Linked DNA regions of Drosophila melanogaster. The protein of the gene in region 3 interacts with the protein of the main gene of each other region in a pairwise test. Each region holds a gene or a part of one and is shown on either strand. Other genes may lie near its edges. The genes, in order: Upf3, spas and CG14853.

What was found.
Region 1: the proteins of CG14853 (region 3) and Upf3 interact in a two-hybrid assay, tested with the Drosophila melanogaster proteins (one large-scale study listed by BioGRID).
Region 2: the proteins of CG14853 (region 3) and spas interact in a two-hybrid assay, tested with the Drosophila melanogaster proteins (one large-scale study listed by BioGRID).

What each region holds. Positions count from the first base shown.
Region 1 is NT_033778.4:23,889,849-23,898,997, reverse strand, and holds Upf3 (Upf3), read left to right. Parts: upstream 1-4,010; 5' UTR 4,011-4,230; coding exon 4,231-4,323; intron 4,324-4,380; coding exon 4,381-5,523; intron 5,524-5,579; coding exon 5,580-5,822; 3' UTR 5,823-5,878; downstream 5,879-9,149. Other genes in the region: Lpt (lost PHDs of trr), read right to left, coding at 1-328; CG5339 (uncharacterized protein), read left to right, coding at 851-943, 999-1,283, 1,341-1,880; CG17658 (uncharacterized protein), read right to left, coding at 2,299-3,735; DNAlig1 (DNA ligase 1), read right to left, coding at 5,879-6,492, 6,546-7,171, 7,227-7,859, 7,920-8,210, 8,266-8,328, 8,386-8,402; DCP1 (decapping protein 1), read left to right, coding at 8,806-9,149.
Region 2 is NT_033777.3:24,036,402-24,047,991, forward strand, and holds spas (spastin), read left to right. Parts: upstream 1-1,813; 5' UTR 1,814-2,107; coding exon 2,108-2,861; intron 2,862-3,193; coding exon 3,194-3,364; intron 3,365-3,509; coding exon 3,510-3,695; intron 3,696-3,904; coding exon 3,905-4,071; intron 4,072-4,166; coding exon 4,167-4,419; intron 4,420-4,477; coding exon 4,478-5,223; 3' UTR 5,224-6,253; downstream 6,254-11,590. Other genes in the region: Miro (mitochondrial Rho), read right to left, coding at 1-417, 530-1,147; Rox8, read right to left, coding at 7,563-7,744, 7,796-7,889, 7,957-8,865, 9,037-9,264. UniProt on the Drosophila melanogaster protein: ATP-dependent microtubule severing protein. Stimulates microtubule minus-end depolymerization and poleward microtubule flux in the mitotic spindle. Regulates microtubule stability in the neuromuscular junction synapse.
Region 3 is NT_033777.3:14,605,074-14,614,609, forward strand, and holds the start of CG14853 (uncharacterized protein), read left to right. Parts: upstream 1-4,568; 5' UTR 4,569-5,034; intron 5,035-8,739; exon of another isoform or gene 8,740-8,967; intron 8,968-9,536. Other genes in the region: stumps, read left to right, coding at 1-2,425.

The DNA.
Region 1 (9,149 bases), on a different chromosome or scaffold from region 3:
ACCCCTCGTCAAGAAATTCGGCGGGATGCACGACGTCCGGCTGTCCAATCTTGTCCAGCTCGTAGTGACAATCGCCCGAACTAGAAGCGGCCTGCTTAGGCCCGTATAACAGCCTGGATCCGTCCTCCCTCAGCCGATCCGTCGGATATTTATCCTTGATCTCGGCGGGCGCGGGCGCCTTCAGTTGTAGAATCTCGCCCTGGCCCAAGGCACTCTTCTCGCCGAGATTGCATAAACAGCACACCTTGCCCGGAAACTTCTCCGGGAAGTACGGCAGGTCGTCGGCCACCGCCTTCTCCTCCATGCTCACAACAACGTTCGTGCTCATCGCGGATTGATGCGTTTCATTAAAATAACAAAAAATAGCCGCCGCTTATTTTGTATACATTACTCGACAGCTAAATAAAATGTCAACGTGCATCGCGCCCCAATGTTATCGAACAGGCGTCAATGTTGTCGAGAACGATGTGCGTTCGTTTGCAGAGCGAGTAGTACAATTATTAGATATAAATATAAAAGTCTTCCTTATATTACAAAGTATTTATACTTTTAAATGGCAAATCAAATATAACATCATATTTTAATTTTTTTTATGCGGCTACAAATTAATTAATTAATTTCTGAAATTATACATTATAAATAATAATACACTTACATTAGGCTGTCACGCCTACATATCGATATACCTTTACCAATCGCATTCAGCTGATCAAAGTGCAACTCTGCAATCCAGCCCTGGAAAAATACCGTACTCCAGTTCTTCAAACTGGAAAAATGATGGCACAACTAAGTTAAACACACAGAAGTAGAAAATGTAAATAAAAGCACAATTATAGACTATTCTGTTAGCATGGCTGTGTATCGTCCCCGCGGCACCCTGGCCAGGGTAATCCACGCCAAATTCCACAACGACAACTCTCTGGAGGACATAGACACTCGGAAGGTAACTCGAAATCCCGAAACAATATGATTTTTCCTAAATTCTGGATGCATTTCAGTGGTACTGCCTGAACCACGAGCTGCCGCCGAGATTCCAGTCCAAGTTCGTGCCGCTCGAGCCGGATGCCACCACCGTGAGCTGGCTGGAGCGCACCAAGGCGCTTTCGGCAAACATCTGGACCCACTTGTGGCACGCCCTGGCTCGCTCAATCCTGCAGTTCTTCATGACCCAGACGGACATCAACGGGTTCCTGAAGCGCGGCTCCATGTTCATACTGTCCGAGGAACAGTTTCGCAAGCTGCTAGTAGCAGGCGGCTTTCAGCCTGCCAGCGGTCAAGAACCTGTAAGATGAGTAAAAGCCTTTAGTCTTGACCACTACTCATCTGCCATCATATCGTAGGTCACGTTGCTGGATATCGGAGCCGGGGACGGTGAGATTTCGCTGCGCGTGGCCAACACCGTTTCCGAGCTGAGCGGAAGTGCCGGGCTGCGGGTCTTCGCCACCGAGGCCAGTTGGACCATGCGCGATCGGCTGAAGAAGCTGAACTTCAACGTAATCACCGAGATAGACGGTCTGCAGAACCTGGAATTGATTCTGTGCCTCAACGTATTGGACCGCTGCTTCGATTCATTCAAGCTGCTCGAGGACATTCACCTGGCACTAGCTCCCAATGGTCGAGCAGTTGTGGCCTTAGTACTTCCCTACATGCACTACGTGGAGACGAATACCTCGCATCTGCCGCTGCGCCCGCTGCTGGAGAACAACGGGCGACAGGCGTCGTTCGAGGAGGAGGCGGCCAGGTTTATGGAGCTGCTGGAGAACTGTGGCTACCGCGTGGAGGCATGGACCAAGGCGCCGTACTTGTGCGAGGGTGATCTCCACCAGTCGTTCTATTGGTTAATCGATTTAATTGTTGTCATTTCCAAGAAGACATTCTAGATCAAAGCTTCCACATCCTAAAAAGAACCCTTCTGAAGTTATTGTAACCGTTTTCCTCGTAGAGTTAAGTGGCTGCATTGAGAAACTGAGCATTTATACTTATTACAAATGTAGGCTATCAACTAGTTAAACAATTTATTCTTAAAGAATTACCAAAAATGTAAATGGATAAACAAACATGTTTAAATTAAAGGGCGACATTCAAAGCCGCGTTCGAAACTGAATACTGTTCTCGATATTATCAACTAATTGTAGTTATTCTACAGTCTTGGGTAGTTTTAATGCATCTAACTTGATACTTGTGGCAGTAATCAGGTAACTTAGAATATGTATTTGACGAGCAGCTGTTTAATAACAAATGTCAGTATTGTCGAAGGTATTATGTGTACTAAACTAAGCCTTATATAGTCTTTGGTAGTCATTGGCATTTTTTTTTGCTTGTGAAAATAACCTCGAGGTAGTTATTGGCATACACAATCCTCTCGGTATCTTCTGGTGCTGGATTGTGCAGTGGCAATATTTCACGATAGGGATTGCCCATTATATTGTAGGCTCTCTCGATGGCAATCTTGCTCTTCTCAGCGGACAATGTGATGGCCGCGAAATCGGAAATTGCCTGAGCCCTTGAAATCGAAGTGTAGCAAATGGGAACACCAAAAGATCGAATAACACTTGACAAGCAAGGCTTCCATTCGTTTTCGAGTGGAACCTTCCTTTTCATATACCTAGAAATTCTCTGGGTTACTTTACCGACTCCGAAGAAATCGGGTTGCATGATGAGAATCAAGGTGGGATCCACATTTAGAATACAGGAATATTGTGAAAATGACAGGGGGTAAAAGCATTTCACCACGGTTTGTTCAAAGCTCCTGTCGCTGAATTTGATATCCACTTGGTCGATGCGCCCAACGGTTCTTCCAATGAAGTGTAATTCCAGATTACGAATGCTTGGGTACTGCAGGAACAGAAAACGCAGGTGCATGTCCTCGAAGTAGCGCAAAGTGTCCTCGGTGGCGCCGGCCACGTAGACTATGACAGCTTTATTCGGATCTGGGACCCAGGAAATGTGCGACAGGGCCAGGCACAGACTTGCGATGCCGCTGAAGGAGGAACAGGTAGCGAATAGCTGGTACGATTCCAGATCGGTCCAAGGAGTGTCGCTGATCCGTATGTCGGTGGCTTCGGTGAAAGCCTTGATTAGATTAGACTCTTTTAGTGGGCAACTGCGGTAGAAGTCCTTGATATTCACTAGACAGTTCAACTGACGAAACGGAGTGGCAATCAGAGCCAGGGTCTGGCAATCCTCCGGGGTGTGATAGCCCCTGACTAGGCGTTGGTGTGCCGCGGAGCAGAAGGCCACTCCGGCACATCCTTCACAGTCCTCGAGAGCTTCAGTGCTGAAGCACACATCGCACACGGCTGGGTTGCCGATTAGCTGATGCTCCCGCTGATTCAGTGGTCTGCCCAACTTGGCCAGCAGGACCATCTTTAGCTGCGAAATGACGAGCTGAAGCTTCCTGCGATCGGTGATTTGGCCGAGCAGCTTCAACGGGTGATCGATCTTCATGGACTTCTGCAGATCCCTCAGCACCTCGCAGAGTGGCTTGTGTTCTTGACGATCCGCCACGAGATGGGACAGGCTGCAGTATCGCTGCATATTGCAGCCTCTGCATATCACGCTGGGCTTCACATGTGCTTTCTCCAGAAGCGTTTGCAGGTGAGCAAGGTTCTTTTCCACCTTGTCCGATTCCTTGGTGAAACCTTGTATCAATTCTGTCCAAGTCCTGCCCTCATCGGAGACGCAGACGAAGCACTTCAGAAAGGATCCCACTGGTGGATCTACCGGCGCCATCATTTTGCAATGCTCAGATTCCTGAAAACGATGTTACTGCATCATGTGTCAAGCTCTCTAGAATGTCCATTTACTCATTACCTTGACCAAGTTTCCTTTTATTCATTCAATTCGAGCATTTAATGTGCCAAAACAGTCGAAACTGTTTAAAAGTTGAGCATGATATCTGCGTACCGGTCAAAAAAAGCGCTCTTGCAATGTGGATTTAAAGAACTAGTTCCAAAGATCTAGATACCAGAGCCTTGTCGTAATTGCCAGAAATGGCACAGATATTTCAAGTTCTACTTTCCTAATATTTGGCTAACTAACTAAGTGACTAACTTCTTTGATAGAATCTATTTTTTTTTACTAGAATAATTGGATATAGGTTCCACTTGTGAACTTTAGAATTTCTTCTAGTTCGAGCCGAAAGTGCCATCTCTATCGGTTCCACATCATGTTTGCATTTGTTGGCTTTTCGGCTTTGTTTTGATTTTTGTAAATAAAAAGGAACAGAAAATGGCTGAAACTTTTGCCGAGGAAAAGCCCAAGGAGAAGTCCAAGGCAAGCAGGCGCAAGGACAAGAAGGACAAGACCAATCAGATCGTTAAGGTACCGTCCAGACTGTCTTAATCCCACGATCCTCCGAAACTAATGCATTCATTGCAGATTGTGATGCGGCATTTGCCGCCGACCATGACGGAGGCGCAGTTCCTGGATCAGGTGGGTCCTTTGCCGGAGAACGACTCGTATTACTACTGCAAGGCAGACTGGTCGCTGGGCCAGGAGGCCACCTGTCGCGCCTACATCGATATGTCCTCCAAGGACATAGGCGAGGTGGTGCAGTTCCGGGATCGCTTCGACGGCTACGTCTTCGTCGACCACAAGGGCGTCGAGTACATGGCCATCGTGGAGTATGCTCCCTTCCAGTGCTTCCTTAAGAACAAGGCCAGGAACGACGACAGCAAGGTGAACACCATCGAGAGCGAACCCCACTACCAGGAGTTCATCAAGCGGCTGGCCCAAGAGCGCGAGGAGGCGAGTCGCATGGGCGACGTCAAGATCGACTTCAACTTCGAACGGCGAACAGAAGAGAAGGTCAAGTCTACACCCCTCCTGCAGTACCTGGCCAACAAGAAGGAGAAGCGCCGGGAGGAGGCGCGCAGGCGGAACGAGGAGAAGCGGAAGCAACGCGAGGAGCAGAAGCTGTTGCGATTGGCAGCGCAGTCGGACGCCAGCAAGCTTAAGGAGGCCGAAGGAGGCGGCGGAGGAGGAGACACGAAGAAGCCAGCCAAAAAGGATGTCAAAGATCCGCAGTCATCTGGATCCCAAGCCAATGATGCCAAGGCCTCGCGCTCCAAACGACGAACGGAGCGGGATCAGAGGCGACGCGAGGAACACGAACAGCGTAAGCTAGTCAAGCGGGACAAGAAAAAGGATGACGGCCAGGGCAAGCAGGACAAACAGGACAAACAGGACAAAGGCAAGCCATCCAGCGGCAAGCAGAACAAAAATTCAAAGTCCATGGACATCGTTATCTTGAAGAAAGCAAACAAGCCAGAATCAAACGAGAGTTTGGACGTGCCATCCACTTCTAACGCTGCGGAGGCCTCGAAAGAAAAGCCTGCGACTGAAAACACCGAGACACCAGAAGCTGCTGTCAAGGTTTTTACACCGGCTGCCAGAGGTGGTCGCAAGGAAAAAAGAACCGGCGCAGACAAGCAGCCAGCAGGTTCCGCCCACGAAACTGCAGAGGAAGCCATCAAGGCTGCTCAATTTCGAGCTTCAGAGGAGCGGCGCATTCGGAATAAAGTGGGTCTCACCTATTACCCCCCTCGACATTTTACTAACCCGCTTGATGTTTACAGGATCGACCATCGATTGCCATTTACCAGCCCAAAGCCCGAATTCGTGCATCAGATGAGCTGCCCCAAGGTGCAGGCGGCAAAGATGGCTCGGATGGAGAGGCTTCCGTGGTGGAGGAGAAGACTTCGAAGAGGAACAAACGCCCCAATCGGCGCAACAAACCCAAACCGAAGGAGGTGAAGGAGTGTGAGCTCGAAACTCGTCGCTTCTCCAAATCCTCCGAGAGCAGCACCAGCGTCAAATAGCGATAACAGACTTTTATTGTTAAATAAATCGTGTACACATGGCTGGAGCAGACCGGTCAGTAGAACTCGTCCTCCATCTCCATTTGTGTGCTCGACTTTTGATTATTTTTAACCTGATCCTGCGACTGGTACATGTGGGCCACCTGATTGGCGTCCGTTGCGTTTTCGCTATTCTTGTCGTCGCGTATCCGAATGAACCGAGGGAATCTCAAGGAAATGCCCCGCTCTCCGTCCACAATGCCAATGGCTGCTCGGTGGATCGGACTGAGCGACAGATCCGCGCATTTGACTTCCCACACCTGGACCGGTTCAAACCAGTGATCGGGCTCCAGGCTGGGGTCGTATCTGTAGTAGGATTTGGCGGCGCTGGTCACATGTTTGCCCAAAAACTCGGAATGCGTTTGCAGGTCCTCATCAGTGAAGCCAGTTCCAATCTTGCATATGCTCTGATACTCCTCGTTTTCGGTGTCATAGCAGGCAAGCAAAAATCCTCCGTAGGTTCCAGTTCGCCGGCCCTTGCCTTTGTAGCCACCAATGACCACCAAATCGAGTGAGTCGCCCACATTGGATAGGTAGTCCTTCTTCAATTTCAGCCAGTTGCGGGATCTCTTGGCAATCTCATAGGTGGCCTCCTCATCCAATGTTTTGACCATGAGGCCCTCGCAATTTCCTAGTGAAATAAAGCTTAAGTAAACAACTTTTAGGTTGGTTGGCAGGGCAAACCTTTGATAGACTCCTCCAGGAACTGCTGCACTTCGTCTATGTCATTGGTGTCCAGAGCAGTGGCGAACTTCCACTCGCCCTCGACCTCTTGAAAGTGCTCCAACAGGAGCTTGCGACGCTCCGACAGGTTTTTGGTCACCAGAGCAGTGCCATTGATGTACAGCAGATCGAAGATGTAGACACAGACTTGGACCTTGATTTCCTCGATATCAACGTTCTTCCGTTTGCGCGTGCTGAGCACCTGAAACGGCAGAATCTGCTTGCGCTCCACATCCCAGGCCACAATTTCGCTGTCTATGATGTAGGACTTTACGTCGCCCTTGAGCAAGGCAGTGCTCCTGGCAATCAAATCCGGATATTTTGCCGTGTTGTTCTCGGAGTTGCGCGAGAATATGCTGATCTCCCCCTTCTCGTTGCGGTGGATTTGGGCCCGCTCTCCATCGTATTTCCACTCGCAGGTGATTTGCATGCCGCCGAATCTCTCAAATACCTCATGGACCCCCTTGGTGGGCTGGGCGAGCATGGGCCTCAGCGGCATGCCGGGATGCATGGGGCAGCGTTCCTGCAGCTCCTTAATATCGTACTTTAGAATGGCCGGTATAATGATATCGTAGTTGGGACACTGACTGCAAAAGTTCGTTAGCATCTGAATTATTAGCTGGTTCTTAAGTTAGTTCTTACCAGTATGCAGTTTTCAACAGCAAAGTGGTGTCGACTATTTCATCCTTATACACATCCGGCACCTTGCTAGCCTTGCAATCATCGATGTGGTTCTTTTTCACCAAACCAATGGCCAGCGCTGTGAGCAAACTCTGCTCTGCAATGCCAATTCTTAGCTTGCCAATCAATGAACGGATAAAGAAGCGAGCCTCCGACGATCGACAGGCCACAAACATATTGTACACCAGGTCCATTTTCGACTGACCGGATAGCTTGGCTATTTCGCGTAGCTTCCGGAACACATCCCTCACATTCAGAGGCGCTGGCTGGAACATCATGCGCTGTGAAACGCGCGACTGCTCGGCCACGATGCCCAGATCCCCGGTTAGCTGCGTCTGCGATTTAATGTGAGCCAAATTACGCCCCGTTGCCTTGCAAATGGCCTTCATCAAGGTGGTCTCGGCAACGCCCAGCTCCAGTCCCTCGTAGGCGGGCGCCAGTTGGTTGATGCTGAGGTAGACGCTGGGCACAAGATCCTCCGGACTGACCAGCATCACAGAGCAGAAGAAGTTGCTCAGCGTGTCGATCATCTTGAGCCGGCCTTTGGTCTCCTCGATTACTTGAAATGTGCGGGCCAGTGCCAAGTAGGGAGTGCTGGAAAGTGTTTCCTTTGATATAATTCGCCTTGGAGGCTCAAAATCCTGCACTACTTACACCTTTTTGTCCTTCCAGTAGGCATTCTTGAGCGGATGATAGGAGTCGGCGGATGGATCGTAGTTTTCCACATCCTCCTTAGTAGCGGCAGTGGAGTTGAGACCTATGGTTGTGACCTTCTTGTCAGTGGTCTTGTCATCGACTTCCTTTGGTTCCTTCTTAACATTTTTCACCGGACTTGTCTTCTCCTCGGAATCCACAGACATAGGTTCTACCTTGGGCTTAGTTTCCGGGGAGGCACTTTCGCTCTTGATGTGGGGTTCATCTGGGAGTTCGGTCTTCGCATCAATCCTATGATTTGTCGAGGAATTTAGTAATGAAACAAGAAAACAGCGGCACCATTTACTTAGGAACTTTCTTGGGCGGCGAGGGGCTGTCGGTGGCATCGGATTTCTTCTTGAAGAAGGAGCTGAAACGGGGGATTGTTAGATTGGCAATACTTAGCATTTGTTAAATCGTAAATTACGTTATAGACTTTTGCATTTTGTGGCAATTCTGTGTTCAAATAAATACAAATTGCAATGCAATTAGTTCCCGCCAGTTTCTAGAGCTGGTCTTCAGTATCGATATATTGAAATGGAAATGCTATCGAAGTTGAAAATTTTATTAGTAAACATAAATTAAATGTTTATGCTACATAATTGAGAAATATTATTACGTACAATTGTGGCCATTTTTATATGCAAGTCAATCGACTTAATATTTCTCAAACAAATCATTAATAGACAAAAGGAAGAGTTTATTGTCATTCGGTGTGACCGCAGCACAGTCGTTGATAAACACGGGAAAACATCCACGGGGCAGTGTGACCAGAGCGCCGTTAAATTCACAAATAATTGCAATTCGCAATAGCACAGCCAAAACTGAAGATTACATACAATTTACAATGGCCGACGAGAGCATCACGCGAATGAACCTGGCGGCCATCAAGAAGATCGACCCGTACGCCAAGGAGATCGTGGATTCGTCCTCGCACGTCGCCTTCTACACGTTCAACTCGTCGCAGAACGAGTGGGAAAAGACCGATGTGGAGGGAGCCTTCTTCATATACCACCGCAACGCGGAGCCCTTTCACAGCATCTTCATCAACAACCGACTGAACACCACGTCCTTCGTGGAGCCCATCACCGGCAGCCTGGAGCTGCAGTCGCAGCCGCCGTTCCTGCTCTACCGCAACGAGCGCTCGCGCATCCGCGGCTTCTGGTTCTACAACAGCGAGGAGTGCGACCG
Region 2 (11,590 bases), 9.4 Mb from region 3:
ATCGCGATCATAGCGCTCAAACACGGCAATCAGAAACTGCTGTCCGCGGTGCGAGAGTTCTGTGCTGCTGCCAGGCGGTATTTTCAGCGGTGGCCTAAGATACTCCTGGCACATCTCCAACTGGTCGTTATAGCCAAAGCGCCGTAACACCGCCCAGGTTGTCTCGTTCCTTCCCCGCTGAATGAAAAGGCAGTGTAAGAAGAGGAAGCCCTTCAGGGTGACCGCATCGTTGTATATGCCATCGGGCACATTTTTCTGTATCACGGCCTTCACCTCATCAAGGATTTGCGGCTGGAGTGGTGTGTTGAAACAGCGTCGCTGGAATAAATTCAGCTCGTAATCGTTCAACAGATTGTCCCCGTCAATGTCGCAGATCTTGAAAATGCGCACCAGCGACTTCTTGCAGGCGGATGTGAGCTGAAAATGCGAAGTTTTATTAGAAGAGTACAAGCTGATTACCTATCGCAAAACCGCCAATTACGGCGCAATGATATAGTTGCGACCTATGATCCACTCCGGAAGCACTTACCTCCTGTTCTTCCATCATATACAGGGGAGAAGTCGGGTGCAGCACAGCCTTCTGGGCGTAGTAAAACATCTCGGAGATGTTGTGCAGCGACTTGGCAGAGCACTCCACGCAACTCTCAATCTCGGGGTAGTCTTCCATGATGGCCAGCACGCTGTCCATGGTGGAATACTCGATGAGGTCTATTTTGTTACCCACCAGAACGATTGGCTTCCGAATGGGCTCTCGTTGTGTGTCTCCTTCCGCCTCCGCTTCGGCATCACCCTCGCCGTCCAGGGAGGGATTGCACTTGGCCCGGACGAGCGGCAGCCAATGGGATGTGATCCGATCCAAAGTGTCGTCATCGTCCACGGCGTACACTATGCACACCACGTGCGCCTTGTTAATTTCGGCGGCCAGGGCATCCTCCGACTGCTCCACGGCCGAGAAGTCAACTATGCTGGTGGGCACCTGCTCGGGCGTCACGTTCGCCGGAATGGTAATCTCCTCAGCCCTAGGCGGAACCTCCTCCGGGTACTCCTCACTGACCAGAGACAGAATCAACGACGTCTTACCCACCCCGGCGTCGCCGACGAGCAGGATCCTAACATTCTTGCGCTGCGACGCCGTGTACTGTCCCATTCCGACTGCTCTCCAAGTGAGATATGCCGCTCCTGTGCTCGTGCTCTGCTGGTCAGAGATCGCTGGCGTTTAGGCCGAAATTCTAGGATTTTGTTATGCAAAAACGCAAAAAAAAACAACCCAGAGTGATGGGGATGGCAGTAGGTGTATCAAGGTCGATATATCGCAACCCAGCTACCAGGGCTGCCACACTAGGCGACCGCCAAATAATGCGATATTTTTCCCCAATTTTCCGGCAATTGTGTTTGAATTCTACGAATTTAACAAATCAAAACTATTATTTCGATCAGTTGCTTAAAATTGATCACGTAATTTAAATATTTCCATCCAAAAACATCGGATCCGAAACTGTCTGGTAACTTTATTGACAGCTGGATCTCTACGATATGACAAGTTAGCGTTTTTCCGCTAAATCAGCCAACCGTTAAGGATGTTGTAAAGGACACAAAATGTTTTCTGTTAAAAATATTCGTATAAACAAAAAGGAAATGATAAACAAGGCAATAAATCAAACTTACCTTCAATTACGAATGTCTCCATACTGCACTTCGGTGAAAGTCTCCCAAATTATATTTCATCCGTTACATTCCACCATTTAAACTTTGAAATTGCCTGTTTGTCTGACTTCACAACCTTGCCCGCTAGATTTGGTAATCGATAGTTGGTCAGCACTGGCTGGGACTCCAGAGCTTAGCTTCAATTTTCAACGTAGTGAGAGTTGTAAGTGCGGAAGAAAATCAGTACTCTCGGATATCAGCAAAATGAGCACTAGCTCAAACGACGTACAACAATAATATTCGAGATTTGTTTGTTTTTTTGTGCGGCATCGATACAAACGCGTGCCACGGCCAACCGATTTGGCTTACAAGGATAATTTCCCCGTGCAACTTTCACGGGGTTAGGGCAAGGAGAGCAGGGGGCCGGAGTGCTGGACGCGCAGACAGCGCGGAATCGATATCGATGGTACGCACTAAAAACCAGTCGTCCTCCTCCAGCGCCAGCAGCAGCAGCACCAAGTCACCAATAAAGTCCAGCAGCGGGGCAGGATCATCCGGCGGAGGACTCGGTGGTCGCCAGTCCACTCACCGCTCGTCGAGCGCCTCAAACGTTGCTGCCGTTGTTGCCGGCGGTTCATCTGCCGCCGGTGGAGGCTCCTCATCGAATCGCCGTAGTCCGGGCAGCTCACCCGACGGCGACGACGACACCACCACCACAGATGACCTGACCCCCACAACGTGCTCCCCACGCAGCGGCCACCACCATTCGTACGGCGGCTACTCGTCCTCTGTGCACAAACAGAACCTCTACGTCGTCTCGTTCCCCATAATCTTTCTTTTCAACGTTCTGCGCTCGCTGATTTATCAGCTGTTTTGTATTTTTCGCTACCTATACGGTGCGAGCACAAAGGTGATATACCGCCCGCACCGACGCGACTGTAATATTGAAATCGTGGTGCAGAATTCCTCCAAGGAGCAACAGCAGTCGTTGAACCATCCTTCGGAGCTGAACCGTGAAGGTGACGGACAGGAACAGCAGTTATCCAATCAGCCACAGCGTTTCAGGCCCATTCAACCGTTGGAGATGGCCGCCAATCGTCCGGGAGGAGGGTATTCACCTGGTCCCGGCGATCCATTGCTGGCCAAGCAGAAGCATCACCATCGACGCGCCTTCGAGTACATCTCCAAGGCGCTCAAAATTGATGAGGAGAACGAAGGTGAGTTTCGGCGACGGGGGTGGCAGCTCCAGTTCGAGTTCGAGTGCTCGAATGCTCAATGAGTCATCGCCCGCTGTCCGCTTTTGTTGTCTGTCGAGTGTGAGAATCAATAAGGCAAAACGCGCGCACAATGGATGCCCCAAATGTCAACAGGAGTAGGGTTGTCTGCCTTGATGGACTTTTATGGAGTGGAAGTTCTCCAAGCATGCGATTTTTAAATTCTAATGCATATAAGCGTACTCTTTGTCAAATTATTTATAAGAGGAAAGCGAGCTTGATTGAACATAATAGTTATAAAATAAACATAAAATAATATTATTCTATATATTCAGGTCACAAAGAGCTGGCAATTGAGCTCTACCGAAAAGGTATCAAGGAGCTAGAGGATGGCATAGCTGTCGATTGCTGGAGTGGACGTGGTGATGTGTGGGATCGGGCTCAGCGCCTGCACGACAAGATGCAGACAAACCTTTCGATGGCGCGGGATCGTCTCCATTTTCTAGGTAAGTGACCAGTCATATTTCCTATACCCCTAAAACATAGGATTTGTTTACCTCATTTTTTTTTTATTTCATTTTGCACGTTTTCCCCTGCTTTTTTGTTGTCCCCTCCGTTTTGTCCATATGCACATGTTCATCCGGTGCGCAGCTCTGCGTGAGCAGGATTTGCAAATGCAGCGCCTCTCCTTAAAGGAGAAGCAGAAAGAAGAGGCTCAAAGCAAGCCGCAGAAGACCAGGGAGCCCATGCTGGCAGGAATGACCAACGAACCAATGAAACTAAGGGTGCGCAGCAGTGGCTATGGGCCCAAGGCCACCACCAGTGCCCAACCCACTGGTAAGTTCCTCACCAGCTAACGCGCACCCAACAAGATCCTCACACGCCAGCGCAAAGCCACCATAAGCAGATCGATTAGTCAATCCCTATCACCTCACTTGGCACTTGATTTTCTTAGAATTTTTTATTTCGATTGGCCAAATTGTAAACTTGTAAAAGAGTATATTCTTCCGCATTATCCATCTCTGATTGTGCTAATTCGTTCACAGCATCTGGCCGCAAACTGACAATTGGATCCAAACGACCCGTCAACTTGGCCGTGGCCAACAAATCACAAACGCTGCCCCGCAACCTTGGCTCCAAAACATCTGTAGGCGCAGTCCAAAGGCAACCAGCCAAGACAGCTGCAACGCCTCCCGCCGTTCGGCGACAATTTGTGAGTATCTGATAAGTAAACTAAATTTGTTTTTACACATTTGGCAAATACTCAGAAATTAAAATACTAATTAAACTAAATTACTCATATTACAGTCTTCGGGGCGTAATACGCCGCCCCAGCGTTCGCGGACTCCCATAAACAACAACGGACCCAGTGGCAGTGGCGCCAGCACTCCGGTGGTTAGTGTGAAGGGAGTGGAACAGAAGCTGGTGCAACTTATACTCGACGAGATCGTCGAGGGTGGGGCCAAAGTGGAGTGGACTGACATTGCCGGTCAGGATGTGGCCAAGCAGGCTCTACAGGAAATGGTCATTCTACCCTCCGTCCGACCGGAACTCTTTACGGGTGAGTTGGTTATTCTGCGACTAGAACCGTCACCATAACCAATCTTCTTCCTTTTTAGGGCTTCGTGCACCGGCTAAGGGTTTATTGCTGTTTGGTCCTCCCGGAAATGGCAAGACACTGCTGGCCCGCGCCGTGGCTACTGAGTGTAGTGCCACCTTCCTGAACATTTCGGCTGCCTCGCTGACCAGCAAGTACGTGGGGGATGGCGAGAAACTGGTGAGGGCTCTCTTCGCCGTGGCCCGTCACATGCAGCCCTCCATTATTTTCATCGACGAGGTGGACTCGTTGCTTTCAGAGCGAAGCAGCAGCGAGCATGAAGCATCGCGTCGCCTAAAGACCGAGTTTCTAGTGGAGTTCGATGGGCTGCCTGGAAATCCAGACGGAGACAGGATCGTGGTGCTGGCCGCCACCAATCGACCGCAGGAATTGGACGAGGCAGCCCTGCGTCGGTTCACAAAGCGCGTTTACGTCTCACTGCCCGACGAGCAAACCCGCGAGCTGCTCCTCAATCGACTGCTCCAGAAGCAAGGCAGTCCGTTGGATACCGAGGCGTTGCGTCGCCTTGCAAAGATAACAGACGGATACTCGGGCTCCGACTTAACGGCACTGGCCAAGGACGCCGCATTGGAGCCCATTCGAGAGTTGAATGTGGAGCAAGTGAAGTGTCTGGACATCAGTGCAATGCGTGCAATCACAGAGCAGGACTTTCACAGTTCGCTCAAGCGCATCAGGCGCTCGGTGGCGCCGCAAAGCCTCAACTCATATGAGAAGTGGTCGCAAGATTATGGCGACATCACCATCTAGTCTGTTCTAGCCAATGATCCTGCCCTCCTTCATCAATCCAATTTGGAGAAGCTGTGATGTGAGTCTCAGAGCGCAACCCATTGTCGTTACACTAGTTTTGATTATGTGACCCATGTTTTTCGCCCTTAAGGTTCTATTCAATCCGTAGACTTTTCGTTTCACAAACATTGTTACATTTGTATTTACCTGTGAGTTATTTAATATGATTTGTTTCCCAGCTATTTCTGGTGTTTTAGCCTAAGAACATTGTATTGTATTTTTTCGTTGTTTAACCACCATGTCCATGTGGTGCAACATTTGCCATGCAGCTCCATTATCGTTATACTCATACTCATGGTATATATTTCTAAGATCTGTACTTTTCATTGGAGTTCTTAGAATAGTAGGTTTGCCCTATCTTCGTTTATGATAGTAATTCAAGGCCACATTGCTTTATAAATTAGTTTTTTGAAACATTCCGTAGTGATTTTTTGTAAGACAGGCGGCCCAAGGAGTTCACAACTACTTCCATTGTATCCTTGAACTATAAAGCATATTTTTGTTGTACATTGAGTGCCCATCCACAAGCTACATGTAATCTAGAAGTAAGCGTAGACCTAAGACCGATGATATACTTATACACACCCACAAAGATACATTTACCAGCGCAGAATCGTATTTAAGTTTTAATAGTTATCACTGTCCGTATGGTTAGTCTAGTTTAGTTCCTTTGTTTCAATCTATGTACCTACAGCCATAAATACAATCGTCTCCGATTCACCTATATTATTAGTAACACACCCAAAAATGTTGTACCTAGCAGGTGCGTATGGATCTGGTGTTATCAGATCGATCAGATACATCTTCACCCGCGCACATGCCCGTCGCTTATCGCGACACATTGAACCAGCTTCAACGCAGCTCGCCCACCCGGAATTTGAGTTCTTTGACTAGTTACTAAACACAGATACAAAAAAAAACTACATGCATATAAAACTATATATATAAAGAAATCTATAGAATACGCTAAATAAAATCGATTTCAAGAAACATCAATTGCATTCTTAATCATCAACAAAATTCTAAGCTATTGGAAACCATTGGTAGTGTATTGAGAATTGAGCAACGGCTGACATCACCAGGTGCATTTAAATTAAGAGAAAGTAAGCAGAAGAATTAAGCATTCATGAAAACTAGTTTCGCAGAAAAACTGCGTCTCACTAGAGAATATTAAAGCTATAAAATTCATTCATGTATGTATGTTATACCTTAAGAAAACTTTTTAGCACAATTGTAAAAGTTAATTACTTTTTAACTATATTTTAGACTCCGCTGAATCCTCCACCAGATTTGTAGTAGTAGTAACCACTTCTATCATCAATGATATAAATTAAAGTTTGAAATAATAATTCCACATCCTAATTCATTACCTCAATATAAAAACCAGCGTCCCTTCGTTTTCTCACTTGTTTTATATATTTTTTTGCTTCTTTATTTTACATTTTACATATTTATATCGCATTTCGTTTTCCACATTGGAAATATACAATATGTATGCTCGAATTTACATTCTCTTAGTGACTAAATTTGTTTTTCCTCTTGTTTTTGCATTCGGCTTGCTTGCTTGCGGCTATCCTTTCATCCCACTGAAACTACCCTCTTTCCGTCTTCAGTTTTCGTTGACACATGTTCCACATAGTTACAATTACAATTTGCTTTGTCACGTTTTTGTTTCGATTGTTTTCTTTTTGTTTTAACTCTGTCGCGCGTAATTAGCATTTTCTCTTTTCAGTTTTTATTTGTTTGTTTTTGTTGAATTTCTCATTCGGTTTATTTTATTTCCGTTTCGTTTATACGCCTATATCTGCTTAAATTAGAAATCATTAAATTAATTTAACACGTACTTAGATTGGATTAGATTGTTACAGCTACCCGCCCATCGCCCGGAGCTTTTCAATTGATGTTCTTTCAGTTGTCGCCGGCGTGGATCACTTGAAGTTGAGCTCCACGCACCGCCTTAACGTTCGACTTTGGGGGGCTATATACCACACCCGATTCCGCTTCCTTCCACCGCAGTCAGCCGCAACCGTAGCCACAACTTCAAAGTGGACACTCGCGCATCCTTAATAATCTCCAGATACATTGCCACCGTCAATGTGGCTGCTGCCGCTGGTCAACGGCATGGCCAGGAGCGGCTCCGACTTTGCTACTACTCGGTATTGTACGTAACCTAAACGTGCGTAATGCGCTTGCAACTGCTGCAGGTGCGGAAGCTGATGCAGCAGAGGTGGTTGTGGCTGCGGCTGGGGGCGACTTCCCGGATGCTGCAAACGGCGTCGAAGCTGGCGTCACATCTCAGCTCATTGGGTCTGGTATTGTGGCATCGCAGCACTGTACATCATTTGGGGGGCAAGTGATCCGTTCGCTGCAGCGGCCGCGGATGCTGCGGCAGCCGTCACACCGGGCACCACAGTTCCGGGCACGCCCCATGCTACATTCGGCGGCACCATGCGGTATCCAGCCGCTGAAAATTGTATGCAAGCTGTTTAAGCCAAGGTCACGATTATTCAGCAACTGAGAAAAGTAAACTTACGGACTCCTCCCGCTTGCTGAGCACTGGTAGGGTAGGCGTAGGGATAGTAGCCCTGCTGCATGTATTGCGTCTGCATCTGGGTTGTGGGATAAGTCTGCAGAAAAGCACAAAGTTAGGGTCAATCTTTAGGTCACTGCGTATTTAAAGAATACAACACTTACCGCAGGTGGATACCAGTAGCCCATCTGCTGGTACGCGTATGGATACTGCGCCGCAATCTGCTGGGGTGTCATCATTTGGCCGGGTATCGCCGCTCCTGTTGCGGCGGCGATCTGTTGCTGCGTCATCATCTGACCGGGCATACCCGCTCCAGCGGCAACCGCAGCATTGGCTGCCGCAACGGCGGCAACATTGGCAGAGGCTGCTGCCGCGGCAGCGGCGGCATTGAGGTTATTGGCCGAGTTATCGCCTCCGTTCTCTTTGCCCCAGAAGCACTTTACCAGGTTTCCATGTACCTCGCTGTTGTGCGTGTGCTCGATGGCGTGGGCGGCTGCCTCCTTGGTAACAAACTTGATGAACGAGAAGCCCTTGTCCTTGAAGACCCGCACGTCCTGGATGGGACCAAACTGGACGAAGTGCTTGTGCATCAGGTCGTCACTGATGACATTCGGCGGGAATCCGCCACAGTATACGGTGGTGTTGGTGGGGCTCGACTGGTTATACACTTCCTCGAAGGTGTGGCGTTGACTTCCCTTTACACCGGACCCATTGCCCGGTCCGCCACCCATTCCGCCTCCCTGGCCTCCGCCCTTGGAAGGCTCGCGTGGTGGTGGCAGCTTGCGCGTGGACCAGTTGGTGCGTATCGAGCGCGAGCCAATCCACTGGCCGTTCATCGCCTGGATGGCGTTCTCTGCCTCCGCCTTTTTCACAAACGACACGAAGGCGTAACCCTTTGACTTCATGGTGTGAGGGTCGCGCACAATGCGACAGTTGGAGATCTCTCCGAATGGGGCGAAAGCCTCGCGCAGTGTTTCTGTCTCAATCTCGGGACTGAGGTCGCCCACGAATATGTGGTGGTGCGAACTGATGTCTGTCTTCGGCTGATTGCCGGGACTGGTGGCCCAGTTGACCTGCGAAGAGCATTCGTTTAATAGGTAATAATCAATTAAGTTCTACATAATTAAAATAACATGAGGGCTTGGTCGTGGGGAATGTGTGTGTTGCAAGAGTGTAGTTTCGAACAAAATGAATGAAAATGACCGCTGTCCACTTGATAACTTAAGAGAAGCTAATCAGCTTACCTTGATTTCCTTTTCGAGGAATAGGCGTTTATTCATGGCGGTCAGAGCTGTTGTGGCTGCCTGGTAGTTGGAATATTCGATGAAGGCATATGGATCGTTGCCCGGTTCCCGAATGATTTTGCAGCTTTTGACGGGCCCCATGGTGCTGAAGAGGGCAATTAGCAGGTCCTCGGACACTGAGCTATCCAGGTTGCCCACGTATAGGGTCTTCGGTTGCGACTCGTCCATGGCTGTCGGATGTCACGGGACTGTGGCTTTTTTGATCTGATTATACACTAGGCTACAGCGACAATCTACTGACTCTACACTAAAACCGGAATTGCAACTACTGCACCTGGCCGCATTAATCGGAAGGGGATGTATCAAAAATTTGCAGATTAAGTTCCTAGCTACGTACAAAATCTAAAGTGTCTGCTAATTAAACAGGTGTATTTGCGGCAATCTAATTGGTGCTAGCTGCTAACAGGAAACTCCAAGAGAGATTTGAATACTTTGATTTTCTACTACTTTCGACTTACTCTCGGCTTGGCTTGATTTTTTTGGATTATATAAACTTTATATGCTCAATCTAGGTAGGTTGATCTATTTGCTTAACGCTGAGGTTCGTCGTTTATTGCTTTATTTTGTTCCTAATCTGGCGCCTAATTGAAAATTTCGTTAAACATCTATATGTATACGTATAAATATATCTGTCCTAACTAAACGCTAATGGAGTGTTTTGGAATATACGATTAGTCGCCTAATATATATGTCTATAATCGGTTGACTTCCTTTCCTGGGGGCCTGGGATTTGGATTCGGGGTTTCTTGGTGTACACTACTTGGTATTTCAGAATTGCTCGATCCTTCTTCGATGATCCGGATGTTGTTGTTGTGATTATAAATAGTTGTCCGTTCCAATATACAGGATTGTATAAATGTACATATGAATACTTGGTTGCGACTACTTATTCTTGCTCTTGTACAAAAATTAGTTAGCTAAGTTAAACAGCGTGAAAGTTCGCAGGCTGAGTGTACTTTTCGGGTTTCGAAGCTGACCCCTGGAATCGTTGCTGCTGTAAAAGAGAGAGGTAAATTTGGGTTAGTTTTGCGCTGATAACCGGAAGAGTGGGACAAGGTCTAATGGCACATGATCGGTGGGCCTTAAAACAGGCGCAAATGATATGGATATAAATCGACTACCCCGCCCCGCCCCCTTTTCGCATGATGGGAACAAAGAAGGCGGCAAAGCAGTGCAGGGACACGCACACACAGACGCACGCTCACACACACTGGCGCACACGAAAAACACGGGGAGAGTGAGTGAGCTATCTTCGGAGCGAGAGAGGCGGGTGGGAAAGGACAGGGGAAAGAGACTGCCTGTCTTTATAACAAAGCGAATGGCCAACAATTGACAATAGCCATTCATTCGCAACAAATTTGCGGGCCTTGCAAAATGATTTAGTTTATAATTAATATATTTCTGTATTCACATTTACAAATTTTTTTTTGGGCCACTCACGCACAGCACACAGAAATGCACACTCAGGCACGCCAGCGAGACGAGGGCGAAAGGAGAACGACGAAAATCGACTAGAAGATGAATGACCGTCGATAACAAAATGAGGAGAAAGAAAAACAGGGAAAAGGAAGAGAAAGATGTGGGAAATTTTGCGAAACCGGCGGGCGGGTGACACACACGGTTGCATTAGATTCGTGTTCTTCTTCTTCACACTTTGCGAAATCAAATTTTAATTTGCATAGAACTAAACTTGATTTTGATTATTTCTGCGGCGGCGGCGCTAGAAAATGTCAGTCAAAGTCACAGAACTGAAGAGACGGCGAAAAGGGAATGGCGGGGTGGTTTTGGTTGCTCATTTGCTGCTTATTTTCTTCGTCTCTTTTTCGCACACACACTGACACATTAGCACCGACACGCACACACACACACGCAGAGAGAGGCGTCTTGCGCTGGTCTTTTTGTTTGCGTTTTCCTCACATGAGTCTCCACTTTTCTTTTGCTTTTGCTTTTTTCCGCTTTTGGCTATTGAGTGTATTTAAACTAATGCCAATATACCAATACCAAGACGATTTGAATGCGGGACTTTTCATTTGCCTTTTCAGCTTGCCGCTATATGTACGTATATGTATGTATCTTGTTCGCTTTTGTGCTGCCATCTTTTAATGCCGCTCCCCCGCCACCAACAACCGCCACGCCTCCGCCCCGACCCTGCTGCCTGACAGCGGTGCCGAAAACTGGGCTTAACAATTATCGTCCCCGCCGCACTATAGTGCATTCGCTTAATGTCCATTGTTCAGACTCGAATTTCGCTGTCAAAATTCGCACTCTCTTCTTTTTTCTTTAATGCGCTCTCTGTGACGTGGCTGCGTTTGTAAATTTACCGCATTTTACTTGCTCTGCACTCTGTTCGCACACTTCATTTGACGGTCAAGTTTAGCCGCTACCGGTTTGTATTAATTTTGCGAAACTTTCAAAGTTGTTAGGGGCTGCAAATGTACGTTGAACGCGTCGCTAAAATTTTACCTTCGTCGTCTAAAATGCGAACTAATTAATG
Region 3 (9,536 bases):
CAGCTTCTCTAGCTGCACCGAGGGATTCACCGTGCTGCCCAAGAAGGTCAAGCTGGGCCAAAACAAGGTGGTTGCTCTGCTGGCAGAACCGCTGGAGAAGAACGACACCCTGAAGCTGCAGGTGGAGAAGTCCGGTGAGCTAATCGAGCTGCGCAACTTCAAGTGCCGCAATCCCTACACCCTGCAGTTCAATATCCCAGAGGCCTGCATGGAGATCTCCACCATGATCGAGATTCGCATCGAGAAGAACAACAAGAGTCTGGGTGCCAGGCCCATCAAGTGCGAGAGTCGTCTGCGGGAACTGGAGCAGCTGCTGCGTATTGAGGACTCGCCAATTGAGTTCATGTGCCATGCCCTGGGAATTGGACCCGTGGAGCGGGATGCCCTCGATCAGCACTTGCTGCAGTGCTTCCAACGCAACATGCCACCCAACTTCCACCTGCTGAGTGGTCCCAGCGAGCGTCAGCCACACTTCTTCACCCGTCTGGAATCCAGTCCAGAGGAGTACCCCACATTGCTGCACTTCGCCGCCAGATGGGGCCTGAATCGCCTGTGCATCCAGCTGATGGAGTGCCCAGGTGGCGACACCGCATGCGGAGTAAGAAACTGCGCCGGACGCACTCCGGCCGAGTTGGCCGAACAGGAGGGGCATCACAAGTTGGCCCAGAACATCGTCAGTTTCGCAGAGTTTCACGAACTGACCACCATGTACCACTACTTCAAGGGAGTGACTCCGCCAGGCGAGAGCTGTCCCAAGCCCAGTGCCAATGTGGTGATTGAAGCACATCCCGTTAAGGCCGGAAAGACCAACAAGCCACCGAAGGAACTGCCCACGGCGGAGTATATGGAGATGTCCAGTGGATCGGAGCGGGAGAACACACCTGAAGTGAGGACCAAGACGGAAACCCTTGCTATCTCGAATCTCAACTACATAAGTGTGGAAACCGAGGACGAAAACCTGCAGGCTTCCGTGGCCGAAAAGAAGGTGGAATCTGAAAAGAAACTGCCCGAGGCTGGCAATCAACCTGGCCCGGAAAAGACCACCAACGAATTGAGGATCAACGAGCCACCCTACTATCAGTCCAAAGAGCAGAACCAGCAGCCAAAGGAACTCAAGAACCAGAGCAAATCCCTGGACGAAGTGGATGCGGCGCCACTCTATCAGACCGACAAATTCAGCCAAGAGTGCTCGCAACTTTTGGAAAACCAACTGGGCAATGACTACGTACTGCAGCCCTCCAATGTGCCGGTGGCCCAGGATGATGGCAACTATTTGTTCCAGCCATCGAATAGACCCGTGGAGGAGCCCCTCCGGTTAAATCGGTGCACCAACAGACAGCCCGGATATGGAACACTGAAGCGCAGTGCCAGCGACGCATCCGCCGCCAGTCACACAAGATCCAATGCCGACGATGAGCTGGCCGAGATTATGCACGATTTTAAGAACAACGTGCTCTCCATTCGGGACGTGGAAGTGCTGGTGGAACGCTGGAAGCACCGCAACGATGTACAGCAGAGCTTCCGGGAGAAACAGGATCAGATCGACCAGCTGCGACGCGAGTACGAGCGCATCCAGGAGCAGGTGAAGTCTCATCTGAAGCGCGAAACGCCTTTCGAGCGGATCAAGAAGTTCTTCTTGCGATCCAAGACACCTGGGGGAAACGACAGCCTGCTGGACGAGACCAAGTCATCGATAGCCACAAGCTGTAGCTTCAAGTCCGCGGGGGGCGTGAGCTCCAGCGCAGGAGCTGGACGTCCCATCAGTTCGCTGAGCCTACAGAGTGTGTCCAGCTCGAGTTCCTCCTCCGGCAGACTAAGCACCGGCAGCAATTGCAGTGGTGCCTCGCTGGGAGATTCGGGTACCCACTCGGATCACGAGGATCGTCGCTTCCCGCACTGCCGGATGATGGACAACTACATGGTGCCACCGACACCGAGACCCGTCTTTACGCCCAGCTCAACGCCCGGTGATGAGCGTCATCAGATTGTATTCCCCTCGCCCATGTCCAGTTGCCAGCGCTTGAACACACCCACCAGTCCCACGGGATCCGAGCACTACCAAATGTTCCCCTCGAACATACCCGTGTACGGCAGCCAGCCACTGGTTGGATCCCAGAGCAGCAACTACCTGAACACCATCATGGAGGCCAAGGAGCAGGCGGAGACACAGCACTACCAAAACCAGAACGGAGTCACCCTGCAGCCCATTAAGCTGAACGAGCGATCGAACATCATCTACGGCAAGCTAACCAAGAGCAGCTCCGCCAGCGGATGCAGCTCCTTCAAACCCAAGCAGATCCCAGTACCATGTCCCCAGGTGGGCAGCATCGAGGTCCAGGCCGAGGTCTACCAGAATGTGGGTGACGTTGCTCCGGAAAAGGACTCCAAGGCAGAGGAGGAAACGCCAAACTACATGAACTGCTAGGCCATCCCAACGACACATATTGTAATCGAAAGATTCGAAAGATTTTCATATATTGGTATTCGTTCGATTTACATGCGAGATTTGAATTTTGATCGAAATCGAAATCCTTAATATTTGCTTAGTCTGTAAGCTCATCCATTGCATACTAAATGAAAGGATAAAATGAGTATGAACTAGTTATCGGTATTCTAATTATATGTTTAAGATATTCGAAAGAGTGCCTTGGGCCTTTGAAGTTTTTGAAACGGAAATTGGACAGTTAGAACATCAGAGGTCTCAAGATCACTTCGGATTACTTGTATTATCTCTGTAGTCTTCGGTTTCAGCGACTAATTGTACATTTGTGAAACGATTGCAAGCAACCAAATCAACATATCGCTAGCCTTTAAGTATAGATCCTAAGTCGATACCAACAAACCAAGCAGCTGACATATCAACGCGATTCATTCAACTCTAGGAATACCCACCCCATTTAGCGCTAAGATACCCACCTTTGGCATGCCGCTAAGCATGAAAAACTCGTTCATTCTCGACTCCTCAACCCGCAAAGTTAAACGCAATAAATTTTTTTATATATAAGCAAAGTCAAACCTATTTTCATTTGCACGTGCGAAGGACGTGATGTTTGGTGTGGCAGGACTTGTGGGAGGCAAAGTGTCCGTGGCGAACAGGAAATCGTGCGGAATCCCTTGCAACACGCAAAACGGGATTGCAACTGCCAACGTAAATTTCCCTTTTTTCGGAAACAAACGCAAGCTTTCATTTATGCTGACTGGAATGAGTTTTTCGCGCTTTCGCCCAAATAGAAAAGCGAAATGGAAAAGTGGAACGAGTTAAATAACACAAATGCTTGTAGATCTTTTTTCTGCTGACAATCTAATGGCCGCTTAGGGATTAATGCTAGCTGCAAAAAAAATTAGGAATAGCATTAATTCAGCTTATGACAGTCGGAAATTGTAATGGAAGTTTTTGGAGCACTGCTTAAACAAAAATTATTGCACCAATCATCCCTTGACCTTTTTGATTGTTGCAAATGTGCAAGGACCGTAGTTGAAGGACAGCACAAGCACATTTTTTCAAGAGTTCAAAATGGCATTCTTTGCATTACACATCACAATATTTAATATTCAGATTAAAAATGATATTTACTGCACCAATACCAGGGAGATTTAATTTTGTTCCTCCCCCAAAAGCATGCCACAAAAATGCTGAAAAGCGAAATGCGGAAACCTCATAGGAGTACTCAGTACCCAGCATCCATCCTCGTCGGGCTGCCTCCAGCATCCGCCACTCGAGGGCATACATGGATCCATATATGCAGTGTAGCTGAGGAACAAAAAAGAATACCATAAATGTATAAGCAAGGATTCGCACTAAGCCGGCATCTCTTAATTCACACTCAATGGGCCGCAAAAATCTCTCGCTGCGCTCCCGTTGCGTACGCTCTGCATAGTATTTTTCCCAGCTGGCTTGCCACTCGCGTTGCATGAACACCCACACTAACACTGATAAATCTATACCTTCACAAAAACACACACACACAGAGACGGAGGGCAGACAACATGGCCACAATCAGTCGGCCATCAGTCTTTGGCCTGCACCATTTCCGTATCCGCTCCGCTCTGTTGTTTGTTTTGTTTCTCTGCTGTAACACAGCGATAGAGTTACAGAGAGAGCGAGAGAGAAAGAGCTTTGTAAGAGCAGAGCTTTTATATGAAAGGTTTACAATATTCAAAATACCATTAAACTTACAAAGATGCTAACATTTAATTTTGAAATAATTTAATACATAATAAATGAATAACTAATTAGTTATAAAAAATGGGGTTGCAACAATCAGTGGCTTGTTTCATTGTATAATTCTGTATTAAAACACAGAAAAATACAATGTATTATCTAAAGTATATATATTTATAGGAACGTATGGTCATTACTGAGAAAACAAAACTCTCCAAAAAACCATTTCATTAAAAATTAGCTGAAAAGTACTTCATCATACCCCTCACTGCATACAGGGTATTCAAAAAAGTGAGAGCAAAGCGCGTTGAGAGAGAGAAAGCTGGCAAAAGAGAGCGGGAGAGAGCCGAAAGCTTTTACTTGAGCAAGGTAAAAGCGAACAAGTGTGTATAAAAAGGACATTTCGTTCAGTCGTCGACTTTGTTAATTAAGCGAAACTGCGACGCAAAAAAGCGGAACAAATTTTCTTTGGCCACAGAGAAAAACGTTTCCATTTTCCGCTGCAACAAATTATTTAAAAAGTAAAACATACTGTTTGTCGTTTACTTGCATAAAAAACAATCGTGCATCTGAAAATTGTGAATGTTAGCGCGTAACCAGTGAACCAAAATCGAAGGACGTGTTTTGTGTGTGTAAGTTTATGCAAAGAAAACACTTGCAACCATTTTTGCAGCTTCAACTGCGTAGAAGCCAAGGAAAACACACGTTAATTACATTATACCCACGCCGCAGAATCTTTGATTCGCTGAAAGTCCTGGGACTCAGTACTAATTAATCCTGGGACTTGCTGCTTCCACAGCTGGGAAAATTCCGAGAGGCTGCAAATGCATTAAGCAGGTGGACGGAACACCGCACACCGTAAATAATTGAAGGTAGGTGAAGTTGCCCTGTCAGCAGGCCAGTGAAACTGATGCCAGATTTCAACCCACATCACCGCCACGAATCCACGCATTAACCTTCGTCCTTGGCGGGAATTGTGTGCTCTTCTGGTCGGCATTTTTGTATATTTTAATTATTTATTTCTGCCACTCGAGAGCGGTTGCCACCCCAGAGTGCTGAGCACTCGAAACTTTCTGCACAGCAACACATTTTTAATGATGTGCTAAACGATCATCTCGAGGCCCATGTAAATTTTCACCTCGAAATGCGGAGCTTAACCCCTTGGGTTTTCATGCGACATATTTGTAAAATGTAGATGCTGGCAAAAGGAAATGCCCTATGGCCGAAAATAATGGAACGATGTTGTTGTCTAATTATTTTATGTTGCTTAGTTAGCTTCCAGTTTCACTGTCTAGAAATATACAAGAATTCACATTTTAGAACTACTTTCTTAAACAATTTAATCTTGTTTTACAAAAGTAATAGGCTTAAGTACGTAGAAATCTTGCCATTTGATAAAAATTATATAGATAGATAGGCATCTATTATTTTTGCCCCATAAGAAGGATAACCCTTGGGGTTATTTTTTTGTTGAGTGCAAAATTGAAACAACAAAATATATCCCCTTTATTGCCAATTGAAAATATAGAACATTATATGTGCATTCTCTTATTACTTTAATTTTGAAAAATACATTTAAAATTGAAGTGTGATGAACGCATATATTGCAGTTTAATATCAATAAACAAAAAGTCTAAAAGTGAAAAATAATTTTTGCAACACTTAAAGCGCCAAACTCTGCAGACTGGTGACTTAGTGCATATAGTATTTTCCGGGTTTGTGACAATCACTTCACTGGTTTTTTGTTTCGGGCTCTTCTTGGCTTGTCACCAGCGTCTTTGGGTCGAGTTGGCGGGCACTCATAAATATTTCAAGAAGTCAAAGCTGGGCTGTGTATGTCTTGTGTGTCCTTTTCCTAGCAAATATGTAAGCAGCCGCAACTTGTTAGCGTGTGTGCCTGTACAAACACTAGCAAACGACAGCGTTTCGGCTTCGCTTTCTGTGTCAGCCAGCGGCTTTTTCATCCTCTTCATCATCTTCTTGGCCAAGAAGACGTCGCATTGTTGCTATAATTTTAATTACCACTTGGGTGACTTTTGCGCCGTGAGTCGGTGAAAAAGAGACTCACTGTATGAGTGAATGAATGAATGAATGGCACAAGACAGGCTGCCGAGTGGAGGCTAGAAAGCATCTGAAAGACAGAGTGTGTATGTGTAGCTCGCATATATAAATTCCTGTTTAGGTATAATGCAGAACCGACAAACAAAAACCCTTGCAATACAATGCGAACAATTTCAGAGAAAAGCCGCATTGTTATGGCAAAGCCACAGGCAACTGGAAAATATTGCGCATACGCCGCGTACGGCTGCCACTCAAAGTTATGCTGCGTATGGGAAATGTTACACACAGCATAATTGCTTATTTGCCGCTTCGGTGGCGATCTAAACCATATTCGGTTTAGACACAGACGAATAGATAACCATCCCCCATCCGCCAAGTATCGATTGTAATTCATACAAAGCCAATGACCACAGCGAACCGCCCAAATGTCCGTCCTTGGGCGTTTTGTTGGCGGGTGGCAGCAAATTAAACTTTCTATAGACAAGTTTTTCGGTCTACAGAAACTTTTTCTTTGCCATATTATAATACCTAAGGAGCGATAAAATATGAGAGAAGCTTCGCAACCAAACGACGTGGCTTGAAATGGGGTTGTATTTGTTTCCATTAAAGTAGATACTTGAAATTTTAGCCATCTACAAGATTTCCCTGGCGAATATTAAAGTACTTTTAGTTTTCTAATACAAGTTTCCTACGAAAGTTTGGAAAGTTTTGGCATATTTAATGTTATGGGTTGTCAATTCAATCGACCGTCATTTTATGAGAGTACTAGTCAAAGTTTATTGAATTTTTTCGACATCCATTCCTCATATTTTCAGATTCCTTTGAAATTCTAAAGCCAATTTCTGCTGGGCTTAGAAAATAAGCATAAAAGGTCACCAAAGCTTACACAAGCCACTTTACATTGATTGGAAGAGCAAAAGTTGCGATGACTATGTAGTTAGCAGTCAAAAGCATAGGAAAGGTACTTTACCATAAGGTACTGTTACCATAATATTTGGGCAACGAATAAAAAAGACAGTTAAATGGCCAACGCTTGGCAGCCGCTCAAAGAGCCGCAAACGTAATTGCAACAGCAGCAATAGCGATAACAACGTTTTTGGGACGATCATTATAATCATGCAATTTGGCCCACGTCCTTTCAAGGACTGGACGCTTTCAGCCAAAGGAAGAAAATATTTACAAAGAATTGTTATTGCAGTTTGCTAAGTCGTTTGACTGTGCTGTCCCATGAGCATATTTATACTCTATCATAAATTCGCCTTTTATTGACAACATTTTGCCAGGCGACACCACAGAACGAAAAACAAACTTTATTCTTCAGGTTTTTGAGGTTTTTAAAGTAGCACATTCGTGAGCTTTAAATAATAACCATACTTTTGGAAGAGGGTTACTTTAAACAGGAGTATTAAACAAAAAATTAGCAATTTATAATTTGATATGCCTTGTTTAAACATAAGGCCTGTAAATATAAATAGATATCAAATATGAAGGTTTATTAAGATAATTAAAAAGTATATGCAAAGGTATGCAAATGTGCTGATACCAAGCTTTACCCATACAGTTTTTTACTCTGCATTTATTGGCCTGACCAGATGGGTTTGCTTGCACTATTTGCCGGCTAAAAAATGTATTAAGCGGAAAACTCATTAACGGCTTGTGTTGTGATTGGCCAATGGCAAGGACCTTGGATTCGGTAGTGTCAGCTCCTTTGGTTGGCCAGTTAGTTAGTTGTTGGCAGGCGATGGAACTTCGACTACATATTGCATGTTGTTTTGGCTCAAATAAGCCCCAACAGGCCGGCAATTTGGCAAACATTCGTATGGGCCTAGCTGGGGATTGGTATCGCAGTCAACCCATTTAAGTGTTTGTTATAAATTATTCGGCGCATTTTCAAACTGGACAACCGAATTGCAGTAACGGCAATGGCTTTTTATGCAATTTTACTGCACTGTGGCCGCCATCTGACCCCATGACGCATTTGCAACATACATACGCTCACTATGTGGCACAAGTGGCTCACGTACATACATAACTTTCCGGTTCGCCGACTCTAGATTTGGCTCAAACAAAACGGGGTTGGTTGCCGTTTAAATTCAGGTACGGCCAACTCTTGGATGGAAATTCAATTTGCCCGCAGACATTTTAATTATGCAAATGAAAATGATTTGAGTACGTAGCCAGCACCTGTTTGTGGTCTCATCATAGACAAAGTTTTCCTATTCAATTCCTTACCACGTCATTGAAAATACCGACAAATTGGCAACTGCTCTTAAAATCACATAAATTGCGGCTTGCGAAAAACTAATTAAACTATCATAAAAGCTATAATTTGTTGATAGCATAATGACAATAATTTATAGTTGTCGATAAATTACGTACCAAATTGTCTGCTTTTGAAGGTTAAAATAATCGCAATTTTTATATTAACGCATGGAAAATAATACGTTAATAAGTATATATGAAAATAAACACTCTTCCCATCAGAATTTAACTATTCTAGTACTGTTTCCTTGTTTCTTTAGTTGGTTTGAAATCTCGAAACTGACAAAAGCGAAACTTTAGTTTATAACAGCTTTAGGAAGTTTCGAAACGTTGAATTACTCAGAAGAAAACTTGTTTTGAAATTAGTTTTTCCACTCGTGTTAATTGAGCTCCACTGAATAAGTTAGTGCTTAAGAGCGGAAAAGTAAAGGGTTTTTTGTAAAAGAGGAAATCTAAAGCTGTCATGAGAATTGTGGCACATGGTGAGTAGTCGCAAAGTACTTTTAAAAGCTTTTTTCCAAAACAGTTCCCCCAACGAGCAACATGTCCTTTTTCGCAACCTTGTAAAAGTCTGGGCTGAAAATTAGCAAAAAAAAAATATATACAGATATACTCGTAGGATTGGGAATATGGCTGCAGTCCTGCGATTGAGTTTGCGTGACAGGATGAGCCAGACATGTCTGACATTTGGAAATGCCAGAAAGGATCAACCGACAAGTAAACAAATCGCAGACTGACTGACTGACGTGTTGTTTGCAGAGACAGAAAGAGAAAGCACGTCACCGGGCGACAGAGACGGGTGACATGAGCCAGCAATTAGGATTCAATGCATTGGGTATAAAATACAATTAAGGGCCATTTGGAGCAGTAAACAAGCAGTGAGCAGCGAAAGCCATGCCCGTTTGGTTTTGGCTACAGCACGTTGCAAGATGGTTATTATTATTTCAATTACGGGTATTGATTTTACAGCCAAAAGGAAAGTACACACAAAAAAAACGCTTACGATTGAAAATCAATTCGTCATATATACGAGCATACAATATATATCATA